Linked DNA regions of Anolis sagrei. The protein of the gene in region 1 interacts with the protein of each later gene in a pairwise test. Links are inferred from orthologs where the notes say so. Each region holds a gene or a part of one and is shown on either strand. Other genes may lie near its edges.

Evidence for each region.
Region 2: the proteins of GFAP (region 1) and TUBGCP4 interact in a two-hybrid assay, tested with the Homo sapiens proteins (2 studies listed by BioGRID and IntAct). The two-hybrid records come from large-scale screens. The link is inferred for Anolis sagrei from reciprocal best matches to the Homo sapiens genes GFAP and TUBGCP4.

Annotation. Positions count from the first base shown.
Region 1 is NC_090026.1:47,480,845-47,487,978, forward strand, and holds the start of GFAP (glial fibrillary acidic protein), read left to right. Parts: upstream 1-4,121; 5' UTR 4,122-4,208; coding exon 4,209-4,708; intron 4,709-7,134.
Region 2 is NC_090029.1:22,410,164-22,418,073, forward strand, and holds the start of TUBGCP4 (gamma-tubulin complex component 4), read left to right. Parts: upstream 1-4,873; 5' UTR 4,874-4,917; coding exon 4,918-4,989; intron 4,990-5,084; coding exon 5,085-5,282; intron 5,283-7,007; coding exon 7,008-7,106; intron 7,107-7,386; coding exon 7,387-7,440; intron 7,441-7,532; coding exon 7,533-7,589; intron 7,590-7,910. Other genes in the region: ras GTPase-activating-like protein IQGAP1, read right to left, coding at 4,462-4,561, 4,653-4,701. UniProt on the Homo sapiens protein: Component of the gamma-tubulin ring complex (gTuRC) which mediates microtubule nucleation.

The DNA.
Region 1 (7,134 bases):
TGGAATGGGTCTTGGGGGCATTACTCCGCTCCTTCCTGGAGGGTCACTCCCAGTTGGGGAAGCTGGGGGATACCTGCTCGGACCCATGGCCTTTGACCTGTGGGGTCCCACAAGGTTGCATTCTATCCCCCATGTTTTCAATATCTACATGAAACCACTGGGTAGGATTATCCAGAGTTTTGGAGTTGGGTACCATCTGTACACAGATGACACCCAACTCTACTACTCATTTCCACCAAATTCCAAGGAAGCCTCCCAGACCTTGAACCAGTGTCTATCAGCTGTGATGGACTGGATGAGGGCTAACAGGTTGAAGCTTAATCCAGACAAGACAGAGGTCCTCCTGGTCAGTTGTGGGGCCGACCAGGGTATTGGGTGGCAACCTGTGCGTCCCCTGAGGACGCAGGTCCGTAGCTTGGGGGTTCTCCTGGATTCAACGCTGTCACTTGATGCTCAGGTGTCGGCGGTGGCTGGGAGGGCCTTTGCACAATTCATACTTGTGCACCAGCTGCAACCATACCTAGTGAAGTCTGACTTGGCCAGGGTGATCCACACCTTGATTATATCTAGATTGGGCTACTGCAATGTGCTCTACGTGGGGCTGCCCTTGAGGACAGCCTGGAAATTTCAACTGGTACAACGAATAGCAGCCAGGCTCCTTAATGGAGCAAACTATAGGGAGCATGCAACGCCCATATTAAAACAGCTTCATTGGCTGCTTGTTGAAACCACCAGGTCTTCAAGCTCTTACGAAAGGAGGGGAGGGATGGGGCCTGTCTTATTTCCCTTGGAAGGGTGTTCCAGAGGCAGGGGACCACCACCGAGAAGGCCCTCTCTCTCATCCCCACCAACCATACGTGTGACAGTAGTGGGAGCGAAAGGAGGGCCTCCCCGGAAGATCTTAGAGCTCGCGCCAGTTCATATAAGGAGATGCAATTGCAGAGATAGGCAGGTCCTATCTCTACTGAAGCACCTTCTCCTAACCTGGTGATCTTTTGTTGTGCTGGATTGCAGTGCCCATCATCCCCTACTAACAGGGCCATTTGCAACTACAGAAACTGTCGAATACGGTTGAAGGGTCCAAGGATGGAGAAAGCTGAAATTAAAGGATGTGGCAAACTTCACTACTGTTCTGTTGTATGCTAGGTAAACTTCACTACTGTTCCTTTGTTTTTGATTAAATGGTTTGAATCAAACTATAGGCAGCTTGTGACCAGAGCAGAGGTGAGAGAGTGTCACTCAAAATACCCGAGCCTCCTGCTTCGATCACAAGCTGCCACTGTGCCATCAAGCCATGATTCGCCCACCCCTGCCAGCCTTGACTCCTCTCTGTGCCCATAGATGTGTCTTCTACTGGAGTTTCAATTGACAAGAAATCCAGAAGTTTGTGGAACATGATGGGGTTTTTTTTATTGTTGCTGTCTTTAAAAAACCACTGGAGTGGAAAGCTAGTCTGGGGGTTCAAAGAGGCATTCAATTTAAATCTCTCTTAATTAGCTTCTGAGCTGCTTTGTTCAGCTGGCTGGTGAGATGAATCAAAGTTCTGCCATTTGGACAGTTTTAGCAAGAGAAGACAGCCGGTTCGTGGAGGAAAGACAGCTGTGTTTTCAGTGTTTCATTTCTGAAAGTGATGCTCAAATCTCAATTGAAACTATACTTTCTGGTCAGCAATTTCATCCAGATTGACTGCTGTTATTCACTGAGGAAGAAGAGATTCTGTACACGCACAGAGGCATTTTTGTTGTCGTTAACTGCCGTCAAGACGACTTTGAGTCAACATGTTGTGTTATCATCTACCGTATGGCCTGCTCAGCCTTTGCAGATCCAGATTCTATAGTTTAACAATGTATTATTGTACTCTTTTTTTTCTTTTCCGCAAGCACACGCAGAGTGCTTTCCTCCTACTGTTTTGTAATAATTGCTCACATCACTATACTGCTATTAAAAGTTCAAGATTTCAAGATGTGGCTTTCTGGCAGAATTGATTGAAATAACTTCTCAGAGTAAAAATTCGTCAGAAAAACCCATCTCTGGATGGGCAGCTTGTATGAAGAAAACTTACTTTACTTAGGCAATCCCTCATTGTCCGGGTAGGATAGTCTTCCAAGATCAGTGTACTGGTGAGTCCGTAGGTGACTGTGGAGCCCTATTCTTGATCTGCATCTTCTCCCGCAGTGAGGGCATTGGTTTCCAGATGGAAGGCGGTCTCGGTTGGGGTTGGCTTGACGTGCCTTCCTCTTGGCACATTTCTCTCACCCTCCATTCATGCCTCTTCAAATTCTACAGCACTGCTGGTCAAAGCTGACCTCCAGCTGGAGTACTCAAGGGCCAGGGCTTCCCAGTTCTCAGTGTCTATGCCAAAGTTTTTAAGGTTGGCTTTGAGCCCATCTTTAAATCTCTTTTCCTGCCCTCCAACATTCCGTTTTCCATTCTTGAGTTCAGAGTAGAGCTTTGGGAGACAGTGGTTGGGCATCCGGACAACGTGGCGGAGTTGATGGCAGAGGACCATCGCTTCAATGCTGGTGGTCTTTGCTTCTTCCAGCATGCTGACATTTGTCCACTTGTCTTCCCAAGAGATTTGCAGGATTTTCTGGAGACAGCACTGATGGAATCGTTCCAGAAGTTGCAACTGCTTTGAGAAACGGTGGTCAGGCATTGGGCAATGTGGCTGGTCCAGCGGAGTTGATGGTGGAGGACCATTGCTTCAATGCTGGTGATCTTTGCATCTTCCAGCATGCTGACATTTGTCCGCTTGTCTTCCCAAGAGATTTGCAGGATTTTCCGGAGATAGCACTGATGGAATCGTTCCAGAAGTTGCATGTGATGTCTGTAGACAGTCCATGTTTCGCAGGCATATAGCAGAGTTGGGAGGACAATAGCTTTATAAACAAGCACCTTGGTATCCCTGTGGATGTCCCGGTCCTCAAACACACTCTGCTTCATTCGGAAAAAGGCTGCACTTGCAGAGTTCAGGTGGTGTAGTATTTCAGAGTCAATGTTGACTTTTGTGGAGAGGTGGCTGCCAAGGTAGCGGAAATGATCAACATTTTCGAATGTTACACCATTAAGCTGTATTTCTGGCTTTGGAGAGGGATTGGCTGGTGACTGATGGAAGCGCTCTTTGGTTTTCTCGATGTTCAGTGACAGGCCGAGCTTCTCATATGCTTCTGCGATGATATTTAGAGTGGCTTGTAGGTTTTCTTCTGAATGCGCACAGGTGACGTTGTCATCACTATACTAGAGTTCTATAACAGATGTTGTTGTAACCTTGGTTTTGGCTTTCAGTCTGCTGAGATTAAATACCTTGCCATATGTCCGATAGATGATTTCCACTCCGGTGGGAAGCTTCCCATCAACAAAATGCAGGGAACAAAATCAACCACTGTACATGGCATTCATTGACCTTGCAAAGGCATTTGACACAGTGAATCGCAGCGCTCTCTGGACCATCCTCCAAAAAATCGGGTGCCCTAACAAATTTGTGAACATCCTGCAGCTCCTCCATGATGGCATGATGGCAACAATCTTGGACAGCAATTGATCCCAAAGTGACACATTTAAGGTGGAATCAGGTGTCAAACAGGCATGTGTTATTTCACCAACTTCATTCTCCATCTTCATCGCTATGATACTATGATACTTCATGAAGAATACAGATCTTTTGGTTGCCTTTGAGCCTCTTTCTTTGAGCCTTCATGTAAACATGGCCGTTATGTGATTGTTGGCTATACAAATAGAAGAGTGCCATTTGTCATGTAAATGAGTATTCGTTCAAAGCATTGCAAGAAAACAGAGAGGGGGAGATTAACTGAGTTTTTGTAATAAGTGCCCCTATTATTCGAAGGCAAAAAGGACAACCTTAGTCTTGTGGGAATCCCATTGCAGTGATGTGCTGTGACAGATAGTTGTGATGGTCATTACCAATGGACACAGCTACATCATTAATCCAAGTCCATTTTCTCTCTGTTTCATCAAGAAAACTCAAAACTTCTCCCCAATGTCCTCCTTTTGCAGCTTTGCCAGGGCAAGGGCACTTGGCATAGCAAATGTGAGATGTCAGGACCTGGCACACAACCCATTCCTCCCTCCCTCTCCAGCCCTTTACACGCAAATGGCCGGGCATGGTTAACCTTCTTGTATAAAAACCCTTTGCAGCACAGAGAGAGGAAGCTGTCCGAGCCTGCAAAGCCTGGAGAAGGGATTTCACCATGGAAGGGCAGAGGCTGTCATCCTATGGGAGACGCTTTGGCTCGCAAACCAGCTCTGTCCACCATGCTCTGAGGTTCTCACCAGGCCGCAGGTACATGCCTTCAAGTGCTACCAGTCGGGTCTCTGTCACCAAACTGAAGACTGCCAGCCTCAGTTTTCGTGCTGGCCCTAAGTTCTCAGACAAGGTGGATTTTTCCTTGGCTGATGCCCTTAATACTGAGTTCAAGGAGACCCGTACCAACGAGAAGGTGGAGATGATGGAGCTGAATGACCGCTTTGCCAGCTACATTGAGAAGGTCCGTTTCCTTGAGCAGCAGAACAAGGTTCTGGTAACTGAGCTCAACCAAATCCGAGACAAGGAGCCCACCAAGTTGGCTGATATCTACCAGGAGGAGCTGAGAGATCTACGCCACCAAGTAGACCAGCTCTCCAACTCTAAGGCCCGGCTGGAGATTGAGAGGGACAACCTGCTGGAGGATCTCAACAATCTTCGGCAAAAGTAAGCAAACTATTCATAAGATCTTGACCTAGAAATGGGCAATGAGAGAGCTGAAGCAAGAGAACAATATGCAAGTGTACTGGGAAATTTTGCAGTTAGAGGAGGATTCTTGCCGGATGACTTTGTTACTAGTTTTACACACTACATTTTTTCGCACTACAATTCTAATGATCCCTTTTGAGCTGGGTTCCTCAAACTTTTTAAACAGAGGGCCAGGTCACAATCCCTCAAACTGTTGGAGGGCCGGATTATAATTTGAAAAAACATGAATGAATTCCTATGCACACTGCACATTTCTTATTTGTAGTGCATTTTTTTAAAAAAATAATACAATAATTAAAATTAAGAACAATGTAAACAAATATAAACTTATTAGTATTTCAGTGGGAAGTGTGGCACTGCTTTTGGCTGATGAGATAGGATTGTTGTTGTTGTTGTTGTGTGCTTTCAAGTCATTTCATACTTAGGTTGATCCTGAGCGAGGGCCAGGTAAATGACCTTGGATGGCTGTATCCGGGCCCTAGGCCATAGTTTGAGGACCCCTGCTTTTGAGTATGGAACGGAATTTTCCAGGATGTGATTTGTCTATTTTGTAACATATTATTATTATTATTATTATTATTATTGTCTTTTTATTTATTTATTCATTATTAATTATGTATTTTATTATTATTATTATTATTATTATTATTATTGTCTTTTCATTCATAATTTATTTATTTATTTATTGTGTTTATTATTATTATTATTATTATTATTATTATTATGAGTATGGGACAGAATTTTCCAGGATGTGATTTGTCTATTTTGTAACATTTTATTTATCATTATTATTGTCTTTTTATTTATTTATTTATTTATTTATTTTTATTTTATTTATTATTATTATTATTATTATTGTCTTGTCCAAGGTGGCTTGAGTTGTCTAAAACAGTGCTTCCTATGCTATGTAATGCATAGGACTGGCAATTCTTTCCACCAATGTGCACAGGGGACCAATCCTATATTAGTTCTCATTAGCTACAATTGTTATTTTCTATCCTGGAATCTCGCCAAAGACCATCAGCAGTACTTTGAATAGAGCTGGTCTTCAACAGTTTCTCTTAACATGGCATTCTCTATGGCACTGAATCTATACTGACCAGGGATTATGTGAGTTGTAGTACATTGTGTATCTTGAAAGTGCCAGCTTAGGAAAAGCTGATAAATGAAGAATAGAATTCAAAACAGTTCTGGGAAACCTTGTGATTCCTCTGAACCTCATTAGTTCTTTAATGAGAACATCATAATGGCCGGCCAGCAGCACTCAATGGCATCTTGCCCACCTCTGCTGACTGTCTCCTGCAACAAGCAAAGTGGGAAATAGTCCAAGGGATGACTTGAAGTTAATGATGAAGCCCAGCAGATGTGGACAATAGTTCTTGTGAAGTGGAGAGTGTAAAAACTGCAGCTGTGTTCACCTTCCTTTTATGGGAAACTTTTAATAACCAACCTGCCCTTTCCTGTAAGACTAGGTTGTATTTGGAGTGGTGAATTGATGAATCTGCTCTGGGTTTTTGCCTGAACTTTAAAGGAGCTATTCAAAGTGATGAAATTATTTGCAGGGTAAGGAAATTGAGCAAATGATTCCTTCCCAATTTCTGATTCTATGCTTACGTCTTTCTATGCTAAACCCATTTTATGTTAAATTATTCTGAAAGTATCACCAACAAACAGGACTTGAGAGTTCCACAATAAGGAGAAGATTCTATGCAAGAATCATAGAATCATAAAGTTGGAAGAGACCTCATGGGCCATCCAGTCCAACCCCCTGCCAAGAAGCAGGGAAATTGCATTCAAACCACCCCCGACAGATGGCCATTCAGCTTCTGTTTAAAAGCTTCCAAAGAAGGAGCATCTACCACATTCTGAGGCAGAGAGTTCCAATGCTGAACAGCTCTCACAGTCAGGAAGTTCTTCCTCATGTTCAGATGGACTCTCCTTTCTTGTACTTTGGAGCCATTGTTCCACGTCCTAGTCTCCAGGGCAGCAGAAAACAAGTTCGCTCCTCCTCCCTGTGGCTTCCTCTCACATATTTATACATGGCTATCATCAGGCCCGTAGCCAGGATTTCGTTTCGGGGGGGGGGGGGCTGAATTTTTTTCAGGGGGGGTGGGGGGGCTGAGTTTCGGGGGTGGGGCTGAGTCTGAGTGAAAGAGGGTCTAGCCTAGCAAACCTTTTGTATCATTACCCCAATACCCCCATGCATATGGGATATATTGAGCATGGTGATCAGCTCATGATATGAATAAACATAAAAGTTTAAATAATGCACCAGTAAGGCCTTTTCGCGAACCACCATGAGAATTTCGAACCCCCCCCCCCCCCAGCTACATGCCTGGCTATCATGTCTCCTCTCAGCCTTCACTTCTTCAGGCTAAACATAC
Region 2 (7,910 bases), on another chromosome or scaffold:
AGTCATAAAAACCCATGGGGCCAAAATTCCCCTGGATGGACATAGAATCCTTGAGTCGGAAGAGACCTCGTGGGCAATCCAGTCCAACCTCATTCTGCCAAGAAGCAGGAAAATCACATCCAAAGCACCCCCGACAGATGGCCATCCCGCCTCTATTTCAAAGCCTCCAAAGAAGCAGGCTCTACCACACTCCAGGGCAGAGTTCCACTGCTGAACAGCTCTCGCAGTCAGGAAAATATTCCTAATGTTCAGATGGAATCTCCTTTCCTGTACTTTGAAGCCATTGTTCCACGTCCTAGTCTCCAGGGCAGCAGAAAGCAAGCTTGCACCCTCCTCCCTATGACTTCTCCTCACGTCTTGAGCCATGACTCTCAGCCTAATAATAATAATAACAATAATAACAACAACATAATATTAACATAATAATAATAATAATAATAACACTATTATTATTATTAATGTCTCCTCTCAGCCTAATAATAATAATAATAATAATAATAATAACAACGTTATTCTTATACCCCGCCACCATCTCCCCAAAGGGACTCGGGGCGGCTTACAGGGGCACAAGCTCACACTACAGATAAAACAGCATTAAAAACAATCAAATAAAAATGTACACGCAATCAAAACAACATCTTAAAACAATAGGCTGGGATAACAATCAAGTGCATAGTCAGGGTAGGAAAGGAATAGTTCTCTGGTAAAACTGCTCAATCAATGGCACGACAGAACATCCACGTTTTCAATTCTCTACAAAAAATGGATAATGTTGAGGCCTGTCTGATCTCCCCAGGGAGGGAGTTCCAGAACCAGGGAGCCACCACTGAGAAGGCCCTCTCCCTTGTTCCCACCAACCGTGCCTGAGACAGAGGCGGAAGTGAGAGGAAAGCCTCCCCTGGTGATCTCAAAGTGCGGGAGGGTTCATATGGGAAGATGCGGTCACGAAGATAAACTCGTTTCTGCAGGCTAAACAAGCCCAGCTCTTTAAGCCGCTCCTCATGGACACTTGATAATCATCACCAAGCTATTATTATAATTGCGGCCCAAGACGGAGTGCAAGTATTGCTTCCAAGTGTGGAGGCGTCTAACTTAACAGGCGGGGTGCAGAGCGGCTGGGGATGCCTTCCTGCCCTTTTTAAAGGGGCCTTGATGCAGAGAATCCCCTCCCTCTCCTTTCACGCATGAGCAGGCCTTCCCTTCCACACCTGTCAGGGCAAAGGCTTTGGGACCCTTCAGGGGCCATGTTGTTCATTCGTTCAGTTGCTTCCGACTCTTTGTGACCTCTTGGACCAGCCCACACCAGAGCTCCCTGTTGGCCATCACCACCCCCAGCTCTTTCAAGGTCAAGCCAGTCACTTCAAGGATGCTATCCATCCATCTTGCCCTTGGTCGGCCCCTCTTCCTTTTACCTTCAATTTTCCACAGCATAATTGTCTTCTCTAAGCTTTCCTGTCTTCTCATGATTTGGCCAAAATACTTCATATCTTGGCCTCTACTATCCTTCCCTCCAATGAGCAGTCGGGCTTTATTTCCCGAAGAATGGACTGATTGGATCTTCTCGCAGTCCAAGGCACTCTCAGAACTGTCCTCCAGCACCAGAGTTCAAAAGCATCTCTCTTCCTTCGCTCAGCCTTCCCTAAGGTCCAGCTCTCACATCCGTATGTGACTATGGGGAATACCAGTGCTTTTACTATGCGGATCTTTGTTGCCAGTATGATGTCTCTACTCTTCACTATTTTAACAAGATTGGACATTGCTCTCCTTCCAAGAAGTAAGCGTCTCCTGATTTCCTGGCCACAGTCTACATCTGCAGTAATCTTTGCACCTAGAAATGCCAAGTCTGTCACGGCCTCCACGTTTTCTCCCTCTATTTCCCAGTTGTCAATCAGTCTGGTTGCCATAATCTTGGTTTTTTTTATGTTTAACTGCAACCCAGCTTTTGCACTTTCTTCTTTCACCTTGATCAGAAGGCTCCCTAGCTCCTCCTCACTTTCGGCCATCAAAGTGGTATCATCTGCATATCTAAGGTTGTTAATGTTCCTTCCAGTAACTTTTACCCCAGCCTTGCATTTATCAAGCCCTGCACACCGCATGATGTGTTCTGCATACAAGTTGAATAGGTTGGGTGAGAGGATACAACCCTGCCGTACGCCTTTCCCAATCTTGAACCAGTGTGCTGTTCCATGGTCAGTTCTGACTGTTGCTACTTGGTCCTTGTACAGATTCCTCAGGAGAGAGACAAGGTGATTTGGTATTCCCATACCACCAAGAACTTGCCACAATTTATTATGATCCACAAAGTCTAAGGCTTTAGAATCTATATAAATAAAAATGTAATGTTTGTTTGTGAGATTAACAGAACTCAAAAACCACTGGGTGAATTAACAACAAATTTGGACACAAGACACATAACAACCCAATGTATGTCCTTCACTCTTAAAAAAATGATTTTGTCGTTTGGGAGTTGTAGTTGCTGGGATTTATAGTTCACCTACAATCAAAGACCATTCTGAACTCCACCAACGATGGAATTGAACCAAACTTGGCACACAGTTCTCCTATGACCAACAGAAACTACTAGAAGGGTTTGGTGGGCAGTGTCCTTTGGTTTTGGAGTTGTAGTTCACCTATATCCAGAGATCACTGTGGACTCAAACAATGATGGATCTGGACCAAACTCTACATGAATACTCAATATGCCCAAATGTGAACACTGGTGGAGTTTGGGAAAAATAGAATCTTGACATTTGGGAGTTGTAGTTGCTGGGAGTTATAGTTCACTTACAATCACAGAGCATTCTGAACCCCACCAACAATAGAATTGGGCAAACCTCCCACACAGAACCCCTATGTAGGCCACAGCAACGCGTGGCAGGGGACGGCTAGTAGTCGATAAAACAGAAATAGATGTTTTTCTGAAAGTCCTTGCCTTTCTACATTATCTACACGGAGAGAGAGTTGCCAGATAGAATCATAGAATCAAAGAGTTGGAAGAGACCTCATGGGCCATCCAGTCCAACCCCCTGCCAAGAAGCAGGAATATTGCATTCAAATCACCCCTGACAGATGGCCATTCAGCCTCTGTTTAAAAGCTTCCAAAGGAGGAGCCTCCACCACACTCCGGGGCAGAGAGTTCCACTGCTGAACGACTCTCACAGTCAGGAAGTTCTTCCTCATGTTCAGATGAGAGGAATCTGAGTTCAGAGCTTGTTCACGGCACGAATCAAACTTATAAGTCAAGGTATCACTGTCTTTAGAAATACACCCTCAGAGTGTTAGAAAGACTGGGAAGTAGCTCTGGGGTTATGGAAAGGAACAGAGAAAGAGAGGAGGATAAGGAGGAGGAAGAAGAAGGAAGGAGTGGAAGAGGAGTAGAAAGAGAGAAGAAAGGAGGAGGCCCCTCAGAGTCCCCCTCTCACTCTTGAGGACCTCAGACCCTAACTTGTGACCGGGGTTCAGCCCAAAGAGGTGGATTTTGCAACAGCTCTCAGTCTACTTACTCCAGCCCTCTTAAATATTGTACAAATCATCTTCTAGGCCAGGCATGAGCCAACTTTGGCTCTCCCTCATAGAATCATAGTGTTGGAAGAGACCTAATGGGCTATCCAGTTGTAGTTTGAAGCCATTGTTCCGCGTCCTAGTCTCCAGGGAAGCAGAAAGCAAGCTTGCTCCCTCCTCCCTGTGGCTTCCTCTCAAATATTTATACATGGCTATCATATCCCCTCTCAACCTTCTCTTCTTCAGGCTCAACATGCCCAGCTCCTTAAGCCGCTCCTCATAGGGCTTGTTCTCCAGACCCTTGATCATTTTAGTGGCTCTCCTCTGGACACATTCCAGCTTGTCAATATCAAGCTGAGTATAGAAAAGGCAGAGGAACGAGAAACTAGGAGCCATAGAAGAAAATAAAGATGGGTAGAGCAAGGCACTTCCTGGTCCCTCCACCTTGAGAGCAAGAAAGCCCCCTCTACGCGAGGCCCCGCCCCTTTCTCTTCTACTTAGGTCAACAGTAAGCTGGGCTGACAGTCCGCAGCTTATGCCTACCCAGGGCTTCGAACTGGCAGCCTTTTTCTGCTGGTAGATCTTATCATTGCTGGGCTGTGCTAAAGCCCCGGCTTTCCTCTCTTCTGCAGAACAAGCCCCGCCCCTTTCTCACAAGCCCCGCCCCTTTCTCTTCTACTTAGGTCAACAGTAAGCTGGGCTGACAGTTGGCAGCTTATGCCTACCCAGGGCTTCAAACTGGCAGCCTTTTTCTGCTGGTAGATCTTATCATTGCTGGGCTGTGCTAAAGCCCCGGCTTTCCTCTCTTCCGCAGAACAAGCCCCGCCCCTTTCTCACAAGCCCCGCCCCTTTCTCTTCTACTTAGGTCAACAGTAAGGTGGGCTGACAGTCGGCAGCTTACGCCTACCCAGACCCCTTTCTCACAGGCCCCGCCCTCTTCGCCCCCTTATATTTCCTCACCGCTTGGCCTCCTCCAAGTGGCAGAGGTACTCGTAGGCCACGTTCTGCAGGCGCCTCTCGTCCATCTCCTCCGCCGTCATCCGCTCGTTGTCCAGCACCGCTACAGAAGGGGGAAAATAGAGGGAGGGGCGTCAGGAAGGGTCTCCTTCCCCTTCCCCTCGGAAAGAAAATGAGGACGGAAGGCCACTCACAGCCATAGTGGGGCCGAGCCGCGCCCTCAAGCTCCTCCGCGGCCGACATCTTTCTCTCTCTCTCTCTCTCTCCAAGCGGAGAAGGCGCGCTCTTAGCCTTCCTTCCTGCCTTGCCTGACTGACTGACTGACTGACAAGGCGCGGCCGGAAGCAGCCCTTCCCGGGCCTTGGGCGCATGCGCGGGAAACGTTCCCGCCCAATCGGCTAGCTCCGCCCCCTCCGCGCCTCCGCCAGTCAGTCACGTGCCCCTCTGCTTCCTTCCGGGATGATCCACGAGCTGCTCCTGGCGCTGCGGGGCTACGCGGGGGGGCTCTTCGTGGCCAGCGGGGGGCTGCAGGTGTGGCCCCGCCCCCTCCTGGTTGCCTTGGCCCCGCCCCCAAGTGTCTCTCTCTGTGTCTCTCCTGAAACGCGCTTCTCCCTCTTCTCCGACAGGTGGCTCCCGAAGCGGTGCCGGGGCTGATTCACCCGAGCGAGGCCGCGCTGCTAGGCCGCCTCCTCCGCCTCGGCTCCTTCTACCTCCGCTTCAGCGAGTTCATCGAGCCCGCCAATCAGAGCAGCAATGCCGGCGAGGCCCCGCCCCCTCCCGCGCAGGCCCCGCCCCCGGCGCTCCCGCCCGCCCCGCCCCCACAGGTGAGCAAAGCTGCATTGGGACAGCATGGCATGCAAGACACCTGCCAATACATGTAGTAGTATTATTATTATTATGAGCATTGTTACAGCATATATATATATATATATATATATAGACATATGTTATCGTTTTTATATATAATATTTATTTATTGGATATGTTATTATTTTGTATATAAAAATATACAAAATATATAATTATTGTTGGCTATATTATTGTTTTATATAATAATATAAAATATAAAATAATAATAATATATTATTATGAGCTTGTTGATCGAAAGGTCGCAGGTTCGATTCCAGGGAGCGGCGTGAGCTTCCGCTGTCAGCCCTAGTTTCTGCCAACCTAGCAGTTTGAAAACATGCAAATGTGAGTAGATAAATAGGTACCGCTCCGGCAGGAAAGTAACGGCGCTCCATGCAGTCATGCCGGCCACATGACCTTGGAGGTGTCTACAGACAACGCTGGCTCTTCGGCTTAGAAATGGAGATGAGCACCACACCCCAGAGTCAGACATGACTGGACTTAATGTCAGGGGACTACCTTTACCTTTATATAGTATATCAATGAGGGATTATTCCATAGGACATTTAGTGCAATACACTTGCAAACAGATGTATTATTATTATTATTATTATTATTATTATTATTATATATACACACACATATATATATACATACAAATATATGTTATTGTTTTTATATATTATTCTTATTGGAAATGTTATTTTATATATTATTATCATTTCCAGGAGGGAATTATTCAATTGGACATTGAATGCAATTCACTTGCAAATAAATTTATAATTTTTATCACTATTTGTGTGTGTGTGTGTGTATTATCATTTTTATATATAATTATTGTAGGATATGTTATTTTATATGGTATTACGTCAATGAAGGATTATTTAATAGGAGTATTAGTGCAATGCATTTGCAAATGTATTATTATTATGAGATATATATATATATATACACACACACACACACACACACATGTTATTAGTTTGTATATAATTATTATTGGAAATGTTATTATGTTCTATATTATCATCATTTCCAGGAGGGGATTATTCAATTGGACATTGAATGCAATACACTTGCAAATAAATGTATTATTTTTATCACTATTTGTGTGTGTGTGTGTTTGAGTGTGTGATCATTTCTATATGCAATTATTATTGGAAGTGTCATTATTTTATATATTATCATTTCCAGGAGGGGAATTGGACATTTAATGTATTATTAAATAAATGTATTATTTTTATCACTATTAATTGTGTGTGTGTGTTACCATTTTTATATATAATTTTTGTTGGATATGTTTATATAGTATTATGTCAATGAGGGATTATTCAATAGGACATTTAGTGTAATACACTTGCAAATAAATGTATTATTATTATTATTATTATTATTATCATCTTCATCATTTTTATGGTAGTATTTATGTTATTTATTTATGTATTGGTCACATTTGTACCCCACCCTTCTCAATCAGGAGGAGGACTCAGGGCACCCTTGCAACAGGCAGCAATTCAGTGCCACACACTGTGAATTGTGCTCGGTAGCAGACTGGCAGCCAGTGGAGCGGACACAACAGAGGGGTTGTGTGCTCCCTGTATGCCACTTCTCATCTCAATTGAATTCCTTCAAACATAGATTGCAGCCAGATCTGTCCATAAATCAGTCATTATTTGACCCTTCTTTCCTTCTTACTGCAGGAGTTGCCTCCGCCGGGGATCTACCTACGCGCCTTCTGTGCAGGGCTTGACGCCGTGCTGCAGCCCTACCGCCAGGCTTTGCTGGACCTGGAGCTAGAGGTGAGGGGGTCACAGCGGGATCTGGGGACAAGGCTCCACCCAAACTTTAGGAAGAGCTTCCTAACTGTGAGAGCTGTTCAGCAGGGGAACTCTCTGCCTTGGAGTGTGGTGGACACTTTTAAACAGAGGCTGAATGGCCATCTATTGGGGGTGCTTTGAGTGTGATTTTCCTGCTTCTCAGCAGAGGGTTGGACTTGATGGCCTACGAGGTCTCTTCCAACTCTAGGATTCTATGATTCAAGGGGGGGCTCCTCTGACCCATCTCTCTCTCTCTCTGCAGTTCCTGGCCGACCCCCACCTGACTATCGCCCACCTCAACTACTCCCTGGACCAGGTATGATTGTTGCCCCCCTTTGGCCAGGAAGAGATGCTGCAGGAAAGGCCCAGGTACACCTTTGATGCTTCCTTCCTCATCCTCTCTTGCAGTTCCAGCTCCTCTTCCCCTCCTTGATGGTTGTGGTAGAACAGATCAAGACCCAGAAGGTAGGTGCAAGGAGGAGGGGGTTGGTGGTCAGCGGGGGTCACCAAGGGAGGGAAGGAGGGAAGAGTAGACCTCTGTTTACAGAAGCCGACTGAAGCTAGAAGAAAATGTTCCCCCTCCCAAGGACTCTGCTCCTTCCTACACCACAACAGTGGTGTCCAGCAAGGCAGGACTGCCATTTCTTCTCATCTCAGTAGGCATTACGTATATAATTGTGATGCATGTCTAGAAGCATCTGCATTATACTATTATTTTGTGAAATATGGGGAAACCATTGAATCCCTCTCAATGCTGAAACACAACATTAAGTTGATTTTGTGGGA